Linked DNA regions of Bombyx mori. The protein of the gene in region 1 interacts with the protein of each later gene in a pairwise test. Links are inferred from orthologs where the notes say so. Each region holds a gene or a part of one and is shown in the gene's direction. Other genes may lie near its edges.

Region 1 (9,243 bases):
CCATCTCGCAGAAGGAGGCGGCGGGGCGCGTGAGAGACGCACAGGCCCGCCGCCGTCGAGCGGGGGCCAGGGAGGCGGATCTCGCCCAAGCCCTGGCCCTCTAAGTGTTTCGGGTCTCCCTCACATGTCGGCCTGGGGACCGGCGAAGGGGGCCTAAGAAGACGACGTGCAAGCTGCTCTGCACGCGTTTTATGCATGAGCATCCGGGTGATGGAAGGCCGGCTATCCTCAACGCTATCCTAACCCACGCTGGTTCTGACCCAGCGGGGCATTCCGTAGGATAGACCATTCTAACCGGTGCCATCTAGGCGGGCTTCGGATAGCCTGCCGACCGAGAGGGCTGGTGGTCGTGGCGCCGACGACCGCCAGTCCGGCGTCCCGAGGGGGAGGGTGATGGGAGAGATGTGCTCCGCACTAAACGCTTCACTTTCCCCCCCTTGCCTTTTCATGAGTTTTGTCTCATGCGAGGTTTGGACGTTGGTTGTTGAGAGACAGGAGGTTTTAGTCGGTTCGACTCCGACATGCCCCGCCCTCCATCCCCAGTGAAGGGCGGATGTCCAGCGATTTCCTCCTGACAAAAAAAAAAAAAAAATAGGTTTAAAAGGAATGATTTATACATGCTACAAATTCTGCATTTGGATTTACATATTTCTTTAATGCGAGTTTGAACACCGCTGTGCTTTCCTGCCATGACGGCAGCATTATCGTAAGCCTGTCCTCTGCAATTTTTTATGTCTAAACCGTCATTTTCTAATTTCGTTAAAATTATATCTGTGATTTCAACAGCAGTTTTTCCTTTAGTTTCTACAAAGTCAATAAACGATTCTAAAACTAACTAAACTTTAACTTTGCTACCTTCAATAACTACATATCTAATAATTTGACTGGTTTGATCTTTGTGTGAAATGTCAGGAGTGCTATCAAATATAATACAAAAGTATTTAGCCTGCTTTATTTGATCCATAATTGTTTTTCTGACTGCGCCTCTCAATAGCTCTATGAATTCGTTCTGAATCTTCGGCGACAAATAAGAGAGACTATATTTATTACCCATCTTAATTTTTACTACATGTTCTCGTAATACTGGGTCGTACTTAGCCAATAAGTCAACAACCTCGAGAAAATTTCCTCTATTTTCCAGTAAATCGATGTTTTCCTGATGAACACTTTCACGATGTCCTCGAAATGCCAAATTTTGTTTTGCTAAGAATCTAATTATATCAAGTATTCTTGTTAGAATTTCCTTCCATTTTTTTATTTCTTTATCAATATTCTGTTGTTGTAGTTTGTCAATAGTTGCTCCACTTCCAAGTCTTATTTCTAATCCCTTCCATTTGTAATATGATCGGATGTGCAGCGAACTAACCACATGTTGACTAATTTTAGGATTAAGTTTCCACCATTTGTTAAAACCATTTTCCGTATTAAAACCTGCTTGACAAAGATTATCAAACAGTTTGCAGCAGAAACAATAAATACTTTTCTTCGATGGTAATATACGATCTTAAGAGCTTTTCGCCATTAGGCTAAATTTGAAAAAACCAGTCCCGACTCAGTTTTCTTGTTTCACCTTTGGCTTTGCTTGTATTATTAGAACGTTTTAATCCTTCGCTGAAGTCGGCGTCTAAATTTTGAATTAAAAAGGGACCTTGATGTACCAGAATTACTCTTGTATTGTCGTCAATTTTGTTAGGCCATAATCCAATATCTTTCATAGAAACAGACAGAATAATTTGTGCAGCAGATTCTTCATCAGGACTTGATAAACTTTCTACTTCTTCGCCAGTGTGTGAAGCAGGTCTTTCCTCTTGAACAACATTGGATAATGTTTTTTCGCCTTCGAGCGCTGCTTCTTCACCCGTTTTTAAGGCAACAATACTAAAAGAACTAGAAGTTGGCTTATGAGAGATGTATTTGAGTAGTGCTCCAGTGTTTTTAATCTGTATTTCCTCCCTTTTCTTTCTTTTCTTTCTAAATGACGCACCGCTTTCTTTTACTCGTTTCATCCTAGGGATATATAATAAAAATATAACTTGCCGAAATAAATAGTATATTATTTATAGAAAACGGCAAAGCTATTTTACTTCGCTGAATAACATCTATATCTACAATACGTAATACAATATGCTTAACAATTATAAATTCCCCAAATGCACTTGCACCCTAATAATTTGTTTCACTCTTCACTGTTAAAAGATTGAATCGCTAATGAACAAAATGGTTTTTAAGCAATTTATCAATCCAAATACAATTCTTCAAAACGGACTGAGAATATTTATCTATTTGCGAGTTCTGAAATTGTAACTTCGTCAGTATTTTAGTTTTATCTCGTTTAGATTTTGTTGTTTGAAAAAGATAGTTCTTATGCCGGCGCCCTAATGCCTTGCAGACCTAGCAGAGCACCTTCCGCCGGCCCTGTTTTTCAAAAGAAAAATCGATGAATAAAAAAATATTGATATATTACTTCAAAGTAATCATATAAACTTTTCAAACGAAATGACATTTATAAACTGATATTAAAAAATTTTAGTTAGGAAAAATTGCCGAACAAAATCGAAAAGATACTTTTACGAATTCAAAGAATTTTTATTAATACAATAAAATCAAATTATTACCTTGTTCTTGAATTAGCATTCAAAATTTACACTAATATGCATTTATATACACCGATGAATAATATTCGAAATCATATAGTTAATCATAATTTATATAAATCAAATATTAAACTTATAATAATCATAATAATCATTTATTATTCAAGAAAGAAAATAAATATGAAATGAATAAATTGTTTTAAACAACTAAAAGTAAATGCTAAAATGCCGCCCCAGGGTAAGTGCCGCCCGGTGCGGACCGCACCCACCGCCCCCCCCTAGGTACGCCACTGATGCTTGTTAATATTCAATATCATTAAAAATAACTGAATTTATTAAGACCGCGCTAATCATACTTTAACGACTAATTGACCGTCTTCACTGACATATTTTTGTTGAAGTATTGTTGAAGTTTTCAATATTTTTTTGATCTACATAAGAAATATTAGACAGTATAAATGCACTTGTTAACAAAACGCTATTAAATACGATTTTGCCAGTTGACTGAAAATCGGCGCATGCGCAATGTAGGCGTGAGGTGATTGTTTGCTTATTAGATATAAAATAATTAATAATTGAGAATTTAATTATTTTTATGAGCGAACAATCACCAATAGTCGTCGAACAAACGATAATAAATCAAAATTAATTAATCTGAGCAATAAAAATAAAGATATCTAGTATGAGGGGCCAACTTAAGGATGATCATTTGTTTAATTAATTATAAATAAAACGAACAAACAATTTTTACATTCGAACATTAACGAATAAACGACAAACAAATAATTAAAAATAAAAATAAAACCGAAAATCAAAAATGAGGGGCCAAATTCAGTAAGCCTTCTCATTGACAATGTTTTCGAATTTCTGATAGGTCTGTGCTGTGATCGTCATGCACAGATAATACCCATATGTGATGTTTTGAGTTTAAACTTTCAATGAACTAGTAAAAAACGATTTGTATATTTCAATACCTACCTATGTATTTATTCATATTCAATTAATTCAATTACGTGTTATTGTGTGCATTAATAATGGAGGAGGATAAATTCGCGCTGGTTGAAAAAATAATAAAAGATATTGAAAATGTTTTATCGAAAAACGCTGAGTTGTAAATATATTTGGCACAAATTCAAAGATAATCGGAATTTATTTAAATATATTAAAACGTAAAATATTTTCAGGTACGCTTTCGACATAGTTCCAGTGGATAGTAATTTTCGCAATAAAACTCCGGTTCTTCACTTAGAAAATTGCTTAGGGCTGGAGTCGTGGTGTGTTAAGCATGTGTACATGTATTGCTACTCAGAATTAATGGATAAATATTTCTGCAAAACTAAACGTCGAAACAGCACACTCGGCTCTATACATTCGGAAAAACTAGGTCGATTATTGAGTGTAACACTTTTACTGAACCCAGAACTTAATACATTATGGAACAAAAGGCGTGATATGGTACTCAGAAATTTATTAGAAAAAAGTTCAGAGTTGAAATTGACTAGATTAGTATTGTCAAGGAAACCCAAATGTAATGAGGCGTTTGGGTATAGACGATGGTTACTCGAGGCTATATTACAAGGTATAGTGAATAAATGAATTAGTAGATACTGAATTATTAAATTTCCTAAAACACTAATGTTTCAGAACGTTAAAGCTCGTAGTTATAAATTAGATTACAAAAGATACAGTGCACACTAGGCAGTACATTGTCTGTCCGTGGCATAAACACAAGAAATTATGAATTGCTTAATTAATTGTTATCTCAGCCTGTTTTTGTTCATTCTGAGATCATACTTGACTCCAATAATATTTATTGATTTACTCTAGCTTAATTGGATATTTTTCATCTTCCATTATAGCAATATAATAGCTGAAACATAAATACATTATAAGAAAATAGGTAAAATGGATATAAAATGTCTAGTTCTTGATTGTAATAAATAAATTTAATCAGAAAAGAGATAAAAGAAACAATTATGACACATTGAATTTAATATATTGAATTTAAAATACAAGTATTATTTCTAACTACACTAAAGAATTGCCTTCATTTTCAGATGAAAACCTCCAATCAAACTATATCCAGAATCTTGTTAATGAGGAGTTTCATCTCTGTCAAATTGCCTCGGATAAAAGTCCTAATAATTATCACAGTTGGAACCATCGTATGTGGCTGCTTAATACATTAAAGAAAATTACAAATTTTAGCTTGGACCTCTTGTACATCAAAGAATATAATTTCTCGGAAAGATGGACATCAAAACATGTTTCAGATTTTAGTTGTTTTCACTATAGACAATATTGCATAAAAAATGTTATCTTACATTTGAATGATGTATTCTGGAAAATGTTTCAAAACAGCATTGAAATTGATTTACGTAAATGTTTTGTTAATGTTTTGTTAAAAGCTTTACAGAATGATATGACTTTACTGAACGCAGACGATAATTTAATGGAGTACTCTGAAGAAAAGTTAATAAATTTGCTCCTTTCAAATACTAGAAATTGTAACTGTAAACATAATAATGTTTATCTATGTAGAAAATTTGAAGTACTTTTCCGTGAATTAGTTTTAAATAGTGAATTGATACAGTTCTATAAGTGGCATGAGTCACTATGGTACCATAGACGGTACATCGTTCATGAGTTGATCATTTCCATGTATGAATATTTCGGATTGAAGAAGCAGAATGGGGCTCTAGTCAAAGACAATTGTAAGAAATGTAATTCTAATGATTTAAGGCAAAAGCAAGTGAAGATAGTAAGATATGATTGTAATCATGTTTATTCTAGTGCTATATTTAAAGTGCTCATCTCGCATGAAAGAAAGTTCATTGCAGAAAGAAACAGTGATTCAGATAAATTTGCAGAAAGACATGAAAAATACTTGAAATTTGTTGAAGGATTAAATATTGTTATATGAATAGTTCTGTGTTTCTTGTGTGAATTTATGTTTAAACAATTACAAATGCCGTACTTAAACTGGAGTCAAGTTAGGCAAGCAAGCAAGGCTATAGGCTGAATGCTTGGAATCTTTTTACATTTGTAATTGCAGGTATTTTTTTTGAAAATTGTAATTCTAGTTTTGAAACAGGATTTTGTATGATCTAATCAAATAAGATAATGTTATAAAAGTATACCACAATATTAAAAGACATTTTAATTAAAATGATGCCGATTTTTTTAACATTGGACAAGCTTCCTCTCTCCCACTCACCTTGAGATATTAATATGGATTTAGTCTTGATTAGACTCAAATAACGGCTCCAATGGTTCGGATCAAATGGCTACTTCCTATTAAACGAAACGTATGTCTTTCGCGGCAGAAATAGGCAGGACATACTCGTGTGGACGCACAATCCGCTTTATATTGGTCATGGTCCTAATTTAGAAATACTCCGAGTAGTTTTATGTTGTTTCTTACAAAGCGCATTTGATTTGGGACTTTGGATTATTATAATTTTTTTTTATAGGCCGACGAGGCGGCCCACCCGGTGGTGAGTGGTTACCGTCGCCCATGGACTTCAGGAATGCCAATTGCAGAGCCAAGCCGCTGCCTACCGTTAAGTACTTTTTACAAGCCTCGTTTGAAGAAGGGTATGTCATAGCGCTCGGGAAACACCGTGGAGGGGAGCTCATTCCAAAGCCGGATGGTACGTGGCAAAAAAGATCGCAAAAAACGCACTGTGGATGAACGCAGTGGCTGCAGGTAGTATGGATGAACTCTACTCCGGAGGCGGGCGGTGCGATGGTAAAAACGAGATGAAGGTATTATTTCAAACAATTCCGCAGATGGAGCATACGGTACAAAATAGAGAGGGAAACGAAGTCCCTCCGCAGACCCAGAGGTTCCAAACGATCTGTGAGAAAGGGAGTCTCGACAATCCGAAAGGCTCTCTTCTGTGTGGAGTCAAATGGAAGAAGCTGGTATTTGGGAGCCCCGACCCAGAAATGGGATGCCGGACTTGTGCTTTATAAAGCAAAAGTCTTTGTCCAGGCGTGAAGTACCACTTTGCTCTGTTGAGGAATCCGAAGATTTTGGACGCCAACTTGGCTTTGCCTTCCAAATTAAGAACTAAATTAGGAACTAAATCGCATTAATTTTAAGTCGTCGTGACTTAAAGGATAAGACGTCCGTTACATACGTATGTAGCGATGCAACGGTGTTCGAATCCCGCAGGCGGGTACCAATTTTTCTAATGAATAAATACGTACTTGAGAAATGTTCACGATTGTCTTCCACGGTGAAGGAATGACATCGTGTAATAAAAATCAAACCTGCAAAATTATAATTTGCGTAATTACTGGTGGTAGGACCTCTTGTGAGTTCGCGCGGGTAGGTACCACCGTCCTGTCTATTTCTGCCGTGAAGCAGTAATGCGTTTCGGTTTGAAGGGCGGGGCAGCCGTTGTAACCATACTGAGACCTTAAACCTTATATCTCAAGGTGGGTGGCGCGTTTATGTTGTAGATATCTATGGGCTCCAGGAACCACTTAACACCAGGTGGGCTGTGAGCTCGTCAACACATATAAATAAAAAAATCGAAAAAAAAATAAAAAATAAAAATTAGAAAGGAAAAAAAACGAAAAAACGTTATATCTCTGAAAATTTACCCTGGCATGGTCGATTTAACCCGTCAAATAAGGGCAGCGAAAATATGTTTTTTTCCTAGAGTAACGAATGTTTTGTGACAATATGAGGTCGTGTTTATTCCGATTGTTCTGCCTTTAATGAGTGCTATGGCAGACTTCATGAGAGATGGCAACCTTCAAATGAGGTTTGTGAAGAATATTGCGCAGTGGAGGCATAGTTATGTGTCAATGTTGACGTCTGCAGACGGTGGTATCAAAACAAAAAAAAAAAAAAAAACAAAAATGAGGCTTAGACCTTAAATTTCAAGGTAGACCGTGCCATTCACGTTGTCATGGACTTTGGTAAATGCCTATCATGGACTAGGTCATGAGCAGTGTGACTAGGCTATTTAATTCTAAAAAAAATACAAAAGTCACGCTATAAACGTTGAGGCGGCCATTGTATGCTATCGCCAACGTCCTTGTGCTCTATTGAAATATTGAGCACCATCGCACTTGTCTTGTCGATTTGACAGTAGACCTACCAATGCAAATTTTTTTTATTGCTCTTGTAGGCAGATGAGCATACGGCCCACCTGACGGTGAGTGCTTACCGTCGCCCATGGACTTGAGCAATGCCAGGGGCAGAGCCAAGCCTCTGCCTACCGCTTCATACTCTCCACAATCTTTCGACGTGTTGGTATTACTGCTTAGTCGTACCATTTACTGCTGCTGCGTTTGCTGTTTTTCAGCTGTTCTTGATTTTAATTTATGTCTTGTGTCTATGAACTCATATAAACACCTAGCACTAAATATGTACAAATTAAACAGTTAAAAGTAAGGTATGTTCCAACCGTCGAGAAAGTTCGATTGATACAATATGGAATTGCAGGCGTAAAATTGCAACATTTATACCATGTTGATACAATAGTTCACTTCGCGATTTTTTTTTAAATAAAATAAAAAAAAGCTACATATTCCATTCCGTTGCGACCCACAAGGAACGCATTCGCTATGCGTCATGATAATCGCCTTATCGTTGCCGCCGCTGACAACTCCCCGAATCCTGATCATGCAGGAGCCAGTCGCCGTCGACGCCTTAGACGTGTCTACGGATCTATCCTTACGGATCCATCAGATCCAATAACCTTTGCATTAGACGTCTTCAGGTCTGACACTAGGAGCGGGGTCAGGGACCCCGGTAACCGTACTTACTCGTCGAACTCGACAAAGAGGTCGACGTGCAACCTAACCCATGCATCAGCCCGTTGAGTTTTTCACCGGATCTTCTCAGCGGGTCGCGATTCCGATCCGGTAGTAGATTCATTCGCGAAGCAGCTGCTCTTGAGTTGATAGGCCTCCTTCGGAGACGCTCGGGCAGTTGTTAGCAAATCCCATTCCTCCTGGCTGAGCCTTCGCTCATTCACCCGTCCTGGTGAAACTGGAAAGGCCTCCGGGCCACCAGTAATATTTCAATCCTGAGCTAGTTCCAGGACTTGAACTAACTTGGACTAATTGAAGAACATCATGATTTATTTATTATCTATTGTTATCAAAATTAAATTATAAGTTCTTAACATGCCCACGACTATGTGACACCCTCCTGGCGCCAAAGCTGGATCCGCCCTTGTGTGGAGCTTCCCCTCTGAAATAGCACCGCAGTACTTTTCGCTGGGTTGATGTCTATGCGCCATTTTCGGAACCACTGTCCTAGGGATAGAATAAAAAAAAAAACTACCTTACAAAGTTATCAACTTTATTTTATTTACAATGATTTATAAAAAATATATAATATATAATAAAAATATGTTATTTTTTGTACGTTATTAGAAAGTTAAAGTTAGGATGCTACGAATACCGTGGACTGCCATGAGAACAAACGAGTCCATTCTAAGGGAGCTAGACATCCGAAAAAGGCTCTCTTCCATCTGCCGGGAACGTGTTATGAGCTTCTTCGTACACATCATGCGGTCTCCCAGACATGAATTAGAGAAGCTCATAATTACGGGTCGCATAGAGGGCAAGCTTGCCGTGGGCAGAACACCAGCCAGATGGTCAGATCTAGCAAGAGAAGCAC
Region 2 (7,882 bases), on another chromosome or scaffold:
ATCAAGGTATCAAAAGTATTTATATTATGATTTTTACCCGTTATTAACCTCAATCAATCATATTATTATATCAACCTTAAATCAACATAAACCTTGTAAAATTTGAACAATGAACATGGTTAAAAATTAATTCTTGTATAAAAATAAAGTGAAAGTCGCCTTTGAGAGTCCTACAAGCGTTGTAAAACCTGGAATTTTGTTCCAGGATGCCTAAAGAAGATATAATAGAATTCATTACACAATGCCAAGATAGTGAAAGTGGAGGTATCTCGGCTAGCATCGGACATGATCCACACATACTATACACATTAAGTGCTGTACAGGTAGAACATGAAACAACCAGAAAATCATTTTAAAATTTGAATAAAGTTACGTAATATTTTTATTTTGTTTGTCATTACTTTTATTTGTTAACAGGTACTGGCGATGTATGATAGATTAGATGCTGTTGATATTGAAGGAATTGTCAGATACATAGTTTCCTTACAGCAAGAAGATGGTAGTTTTTATGGTAAATATTATTATCTTCACTTGCTTCTCATAAATAAATCAGAATATAATCTAAAATTTGTTGACTATTCATATCATACTACATTAAAATGAATGAATATTTGTCATAAAATACAAACATTACTATTTACTTTTTTTTAAAGAAAACATTAATTTACTTAATAAATCCAAAGAGCATTTGGTTATAGTATATTAAATTAAAACAACAATATTCTTTGCAATGTGTTGCGAAACATTATATTCCTAATTAAAAAATATTTTTACATTTTAATCTAATCATTTGTTATTTTCATTATTAAGCTGTTATTCATGGACATTTAAATAATGTGCTAAATTTCAACTTATATAATAATTGCATATTGATATTTACATGTACTTTCAAACAGAAAGACATAAGTACACTTTTCTGTAAAATATTTGAAAAGTCGGAATATAAATAATCCCAGTATACTATTTAAACTTTAATGTTAAATTAAAGTCTAAAAAGAAGGTTAATTATGTCTATGAGTCATGAAAACAGTAGAGAATGCTAGATTAAATACCTACCCAAATTATTCAAATTATTTTATGTTGCTTAAAGGAGACAAATGGGGTGAAATAGACACTAGGTTCTCTTTCTGTGCGGTAATGTGTCTATCACTCTTACAACGATTGGATGCCATCGACATCAACAAGACTGTGGAGTTTGTGCTCAGTTGCATGAACTTTGATGGTGGATTCGGTTCCAAACCTGGATCGGAAAGCCATGCTGGTAAGTAATTTCGGATTATTTATTTGGTACATTTTGAGAAATAATTTTAGTTCTGAAATTAAATTCATATCTTTCTCAATATCTAATATATAAAATTCTCGTGTCACAGTTTTCGTTGCCATACTCCTCCGAAACGGCTTGACCGATTTTGATGAAATTTTTTGTGCTTATCCGGTATCTATGAGAATCAGCCAACATCTATTTTTCATCCCCCTAAATGTTAGGGGTAGTCCACCCCTAAATATTTTTTTTATTTTTTATTCAAAATTTTTAATTTCTATTTTTTTATGATACAACATACAAAAATACATACAATCCTCAATTTTCACCCTTCTACGATCAACCCTAATTTTTTATTTGCTAATTAAAAACTTTAAATTTTTTTGCGAGAATTTTGTTTTTATTTTGTCATGACGTAGAATAATAAAATTCATATTACTCTGAAATTTTCACCCCTCTACGATCAACCCCTATTTTTTATCTGTTAACTTTAATTTTTTTGGCAAGATTTTCATTTTTATTTTTATTTTGTCATGAATTAAAATAAAAAATCTGATGTTACTCTCAATTTTTCATCCCTCTATGATCAACCCCTTTTTTTATTTGTTAATTATAAACTTTAATTTTTTTGTCAAGTTTTTTATTTTGTTTTGTCATTACTTAAAATAAAAAAAAATCATATTACTGTCAATTTTCACTCTTATACAATCAACCCCTATTTTTCCATCCCGATTAATTTTTTTTTTATTCTATGCACAGATCTGCAATAAGTTTGCAAGATGGCAATCAAATATTATAATTGTAGTACGATAAATTCTTATTCAGAGTTTATAATTTCAAGTTCTTCAATTATGATTTTTTTTAAATTCAATTTGATCTCCCGCCCTCGCCGGTCGACTACTGATCAACTATCAATCGATCAGCTATCCCCGCCAGGTGTCACCACTCATCCAGCAAACATCACGTAGTAGGGATGAGGACGAAGCCGGTCTCCTGTCTTACTTACTCACTATACATCATAGATTTATACACTTAATATATTTAAGAGCTATATACACAATACTATACATTTTTCAGCCGTGTTTTTTTGGTTTTATTTGTGTATCAATAGTATGTTCAGTAGATCTGAGAATCGGCTACTATCTATTTTTCATACCCCTAAGTGAAAAGGGTTGTCCACCCCAAACATTTACTTTTTATTTTAATTTTTTGGATTTTTTTTTTGTTTATAATGAGGTATTATGTGGTTAAATGAGGTTTTTTTTCTACAGTAGAATTTCTCTAGAAATCTTATTTAAGGCAACACAACGTTTGCCGGGTCAGCTAGTTATTAATAAAATTCTGTAGACTAGCCATCTTAATATAAAACAAGATATTTAAAAAATGCTTGAATGTATTTTACAAGCTCCAAACAAATTTTGGACGTCCGGTCTAGCAAATTTTTTACCTGTAAAATTTATGGTAATTATTATTTCGTGGATACGAGTACGTGTATATGAGTAATTCGAAAAGTGTTTTTTTTTTCAAAAACTAGTAATTCCATTTAAATTTCTGCAGGTCTAATTTACTGCTGTGTGGGTACACTGTCGATATGCAAGCGCATGGATGCCCTACACGCAGACGAGCTGGCGTGGTGGCTATGTGAACGACAGCTGCCCAGTGGTGGTCTGAATGGTCGACCGGAAAAGCTGCCAGATTTGTGCTACTCTTGGTGAGAACTCTTTTCACTATAATGTTTTTATATAGAGACTATATGTTTTTACTTCTCAGATTGTTGAACTGGCTCACCTAGGTTAAAGTGGTTATTGCCGCCCATAGATGTGGAGCAACTTTTTTTTTATTGCTCAGATTAATTCACGAACAACCTAGCGTTGAGGGATTACGGGAGCCAATAGATATCAGCAACGTAAATGTCGCCACCTACTTTGAATGTGATGAGTTTCCCAACCTTGGACAGGTTGGTAGTACTTATCGGTGGCTATCTAAGCTCACAAGACGACCTACCTCCAGTAAAAAGCTTCAGGTCTATAAATATGTATTAATTTTTGTATAAATTATGGGAAACTTATATCTTAAAACTGTTGTAAAAGGGTTCGGATCTACCGATGTATAGTCCCCGGCACGTAACTTGGCAAGATTCGTTAGATGCGCAGAAGTCGTTTTTTAGGTCTCTTTGGTTGTCAAGCGGGACGCGGGGAAAGACGTAGCACCGTTCCGAGCGCGCGATTGGTGAGTCAGTCGACGCTCCCCTCCCGCACCAATGACCATATAGTAGATTCAGTCACTGAGCGTTTTATTATTTACGCCAGTGACGACAGCGACTCTTCGTTATGTCGACGATGAGGAGCCAACTCCTTTCACCAGCTCAGGTGCTACCATAAATTTAATCCAAGGGGTAGCACTATTAGAAAATGATAGTGACGACGCCGCGGCGACACATAATTTTGAATATTAAATATATTTTTTAAAATAAACTTCTTAACTTTTAATTCTATTTTATTTATAACGCCTAATACACTTCACGAATTCCTCTCTTTTCTTTAACTTTCTTCAAAATACACAGGCTTAAAAATAAGTTATGGCAAATAAACAATAAAATAAAATTAAATTATATGCGGCAATAAACCATTTTTTGTTGCAATGTGCACTATGCGCGACATTACCCCCACTACACCAAAACCTTGCCAACTTACGTGCCGCTTACTATACCGATGTTCGAATCCCGCAGGCGGGTACCAATTTTTCTAATGAAATACGATTAACAATTGTTCACGATTGACTTCCATGGTGAAGGAATGACATTGTGTAATAAAAATCAAACCCGCAAAATTATAATTTGCGTAAAACCTGGTGGTAGGACCTGTTGTGAGTCCGCACGGGTAGGTACCACCGCCCCGCCTATTTCTGCCGTGAAGCAGTAATGCGTTTCGGTTTGAAGGGTGGGGCAGCCGTTGTAACTATACTGAGACCTTAGAACTTATATCTCAAGGTGGGTGGCGCATTTACGTTGTAGATGTCTATGGGCTCCAGTAACCACTTAATATCAGGTGGGCTGTGAGCTCGTACACCCACCAAAGCAATAAAAAATAAAAAAAAAACAACGGCTGCCCCACCCTTTAAACCGAAACGCATTACTGCTTCACGGAAGAAACAGGCAGGGTGGTGGTACTCACCCGCGCAGACTCGCAGGAGGTCCTACCACCAGTAAGTGTGTACCACCAACTGTAGCGACTGCCATAAAAAAATGATTGTAAAACTATCGGAATGATCACATAATTTTAAAATTACAGGTGGGTCATGTCTTCACTTTCAATGCTGAATAGAATTCACTGGGTAGACAAGAAAAGCTTAGAAGAATTTATCTTAGCATGTCAAGATAATGAAACTGGTGGCTTTAGTGACAGGCCCGGAGACATCACAGACCCATTCCATACATTGTTTGGTCTGGCAGGCCTTTCATTACTAGGCAACACCAGTATAAAACCTGTTAACCCCACATACTGCATGCCACAGGAAACAATAGACAGGCTGAAACTAAAACCACAGATACTGCAAATTTAATTTTAAGGATAAATGTTTTTTTATTGTATGTTTACATTTGACGTGAATAAACTATGTTATTTAATTTATTGGGATATTGTGTTATTTATAAAGCTATTGTTCGTAGCGAAGTGTCTATATGGTTCATAACAATAACATGATTGTTTGAGCTTAGAAAATCGATATTCAATTTGTATGTCAATATTTTACATAGTGGCAGTAGTCTGGTACCTAAATAGTTAATGACACTACATGCTAGTTTAGTCAATTATTAGAAAAGTAAATGCTAGGCTAACGCTATCCAAACAAAACATTTCATAACAAAGTAACTTCTTGTAACATGATTTATGTACTTGACTCGGTTAACTCGGCTCTAGGCTGGGCTCTAGGATGCACTTCCCCTTCCATATTACCCAAGAGCATACATCCTGGGCCTCAGACACGTCCTTACGGATCCATCAGATCCATTCACTAGGAGCAGGCTTAGGGACCCCGGTAACCGTACTCGTCGCAACCTAACCGGAGTCTTCTCGGAATAAACCGAATCTTTTCAGCGGGTCGCGATTCTTATACGGTAGTAGATTCATTCGCGAAGCAGCTGCTCTTGAGTTGTTAGCAAATCCCACCTCTCCTAGTTGAGCTCGTGCCCGCCCACCTGTCCCGGTGAAACTGGAGAAGGCTCCGGGCCACTAGTAATCCTTCAATCCCAAAAAAAGTATACAACCTGCTTTAAAGAAAGTTTGAAAATATTCTCAGCAGTTGTCTGAAACGCCTGAAAGAACTGATGTCCGACAATCAATACTGGATACCCATTGCCTATGGTTGACACTCCAATTTTTTATATATCTAAAATATTACTATCGGCTTCTTGCGATGCCCACTGTCGAAACTAAATAAATATTTATGAATACATACTTTGTTCTATGAAAAGGGAACTGAATTGATTGAAACGAAATGCGATGACGTGACCAAGATATCTCAGTAATATGTTGGGAATTTCTTGACTTCAATAGACTTTTTGAAAGAACACGAGGAGCCTCGTTCGGAAATTTTGTTTCTTTTTCGCAAACTTGTGAAAGTCTACCGCACAGATGCTGAGCGGTTAACTGCTTTGATAGACTGTAAGTAATCACAGTCACTAGTTAACATCAGCAATAACAGGGGCAAAACCAAGCCGCTGCCTTTTGACATTATTATTCGTTTAAAGTTAAAGAAACACAACAAATGGACATAATGAAACAGTTCACTGTTCGTGTTCCTGCAAATAGGTTCATCTGATTTCGTAAGTAGAATGGAATGAACTAAATACTAACTTGGCTGTATAAATAAAAAACTCGTCGTTGAATGGCTTGTCATAACCAGTTTAAATTGTAAACATAACCTTTAAATTAAATTCAGCAAAATACCTACCTATTTCAAAATGAACTTTATAATGATTAGAACGTATTTAAAATAAGCACCAATATTAAAATGAACTTTTCATACTGTGTACAATTTTTCATATTTAGCGTGTGTGTTCATATAGTCACATTGTTCACATATATAATTTACTATAGCGATATTTTCGCATCAATTTATCTAAAAACAGTTGAAACGGAATATGATTATATTATTGGTAAGTGAATTTCTCGTATTTCTTTATATTTTGTCCTACTACTTATCAGCTCAACCCCATACCTGCTCTAGTTTATTTTCCTTCTGGTTAAAACATATACCAGCGAGCATTAAACTTAATAAGTATATGTTTTTAACTTAAAAAAAATAATGAAATCAAACGATTAATAAATTGAGGTTCATTCTTGAGAAAAAATTTTTGTTTGTTAGTATATAATTAAATATAATCGAGCTCTGATTAAAGCTAATTAAACTATATAGCTGAGTAATGTTACTGAGTAAAATAAAAAATAAAAAAACAATAATCACAAACAGCTACCTGGAGCCACCGTGTTCATCCACAGTGCGTTTCCAGAGATCTTCTTTGTCACGTACCATCTGGCTTTAGAATGAGCTCTCCTCCATAGTGTTTGAGCATTATGATATGTTCTTCTTCAAATAAAGCTTGTGGAGAGTATTAAACGGTAGGCAGCAGCTTGGCTATGCTCCTGGCATTGCTGAAGTCCATAGGCGACGGTAACCACTCACCATCAGGTTAGCCATATGCTCATCTCCCTACAAAGCCAATAAAAAGAATAATAATAACTTACTCTTGAATATTGCAGTTGGATCTGGCACAGCTGGCTCCATAATAGCACATCGCATAGCCACAGAGACTAACTACACATATATAGTATTGGAAGCAGGAAGCAAGGGTCATGGTTTACTGGATATTCCTGTTCTTAGTCCCTTTCTACATAAATCGGTTTATGATTGGAACTATGAAACATCACCACAGGAAAATGCTTGCTGGGGCATGGTTGACCATGTAAGAATGCTCTCCAAAGTATTATATAATTAGAAATGTAATACTGATAATTTGAAAGTCACAAAAAAAATATAAATATGTAATATTTTTTTTATTGCTTATATGGATGGTCGAGCTCACAGCCCACCTGGTGTTAAGTGATTACTGTAGCCCATAGACATCTACAACGTAAATGCGCCCACCTTGAGATATAAGTTCTAAGATCTCAGTATAGTTACAACGGCTGCCCTACCCTTCAAACCAAAACGCATTACTGCGTCACGGCAGAAATAGGCAGGGTGGTGGTACTTACCCGCCTGGACTCACAAGAGGTCCTACCACCATTAGATTAAATATAGATTAATTATAAACAATATTACTAATGCACCATAACTATTTTTTATTTGACAGTACAATTGCATATATTTTATTTGCAAACTAGGTAATTAAACTCAATCTTGTGCTGGAGCATTCAATTAATAAAATATCAACAACTGCAAACAAACATTTTGTTCTCAGAAATGCAGACTCCCTCAAGGCAAAATAGTTGGGGGATCATCCAAATTAAATAACATGGTACATGTCCGAGGCAACATTTCACATTATGCAGACTGGTTCCACAGAAAATACTCAAATGATTATATAAAAAAACAATTTGAATTTGTAGAAAAACATTTTCT

Evidence for each region.
Region 2: the proteins of protein prenyltransferase alpha subunit repeat-containing protein 1 (region 1) and geranylgeranyl transferase type-2 subunit beta interact in a two-hybrid assay, tested with the Drosophila melanogaster proteins (2 studies listed by BioGRID). The link is inferred for Bombyx mori from reciprocal best matches to the Drosophila melanogaster genes temp and RabGGTb.

What each region holds. Positions count from the first base shown.
Region 1 is NC_085127.1:9,749,324-9,758,566, forward strand, and holds protein prenyltransferase alpha subunit repeat-containing protein 1, read left to right. Parts: upstream 1-3,486; 5' UTR 3,487-3,628; coding exon 3,629-3,705; intron 3,706-3,778; coding exon 3,779-4,173; intron 4,174-4,651; coding exon 4,652-5,517; 3' UTR 5,518-5,763; downstream 5,764-9,243.
Region 2 is NC_085123.1:2,130,293-2,138,174, forward strand, and holds the end of geranylgeranyl transferase type-2 subunit beta, read left to right. Parts: coding exon 1-6; intron 7-205; coding exon 206-323; intron 324-417; coding exon 418-511; intron 512-1,090; coding exon 1,091-1,261; intron 1,262-2,818; coding exon 2,819-2,972; intron 2,973-4,551; coding exon 4,552-4,822; 3' UTR 4,823-4,890; downstream 4,891-7,882. Other genes in the region: glucose dehydrogenase [FAD, quinone], read left to right, coding at 6,272-6,416, 7,021-7,223, 7,722-7,882.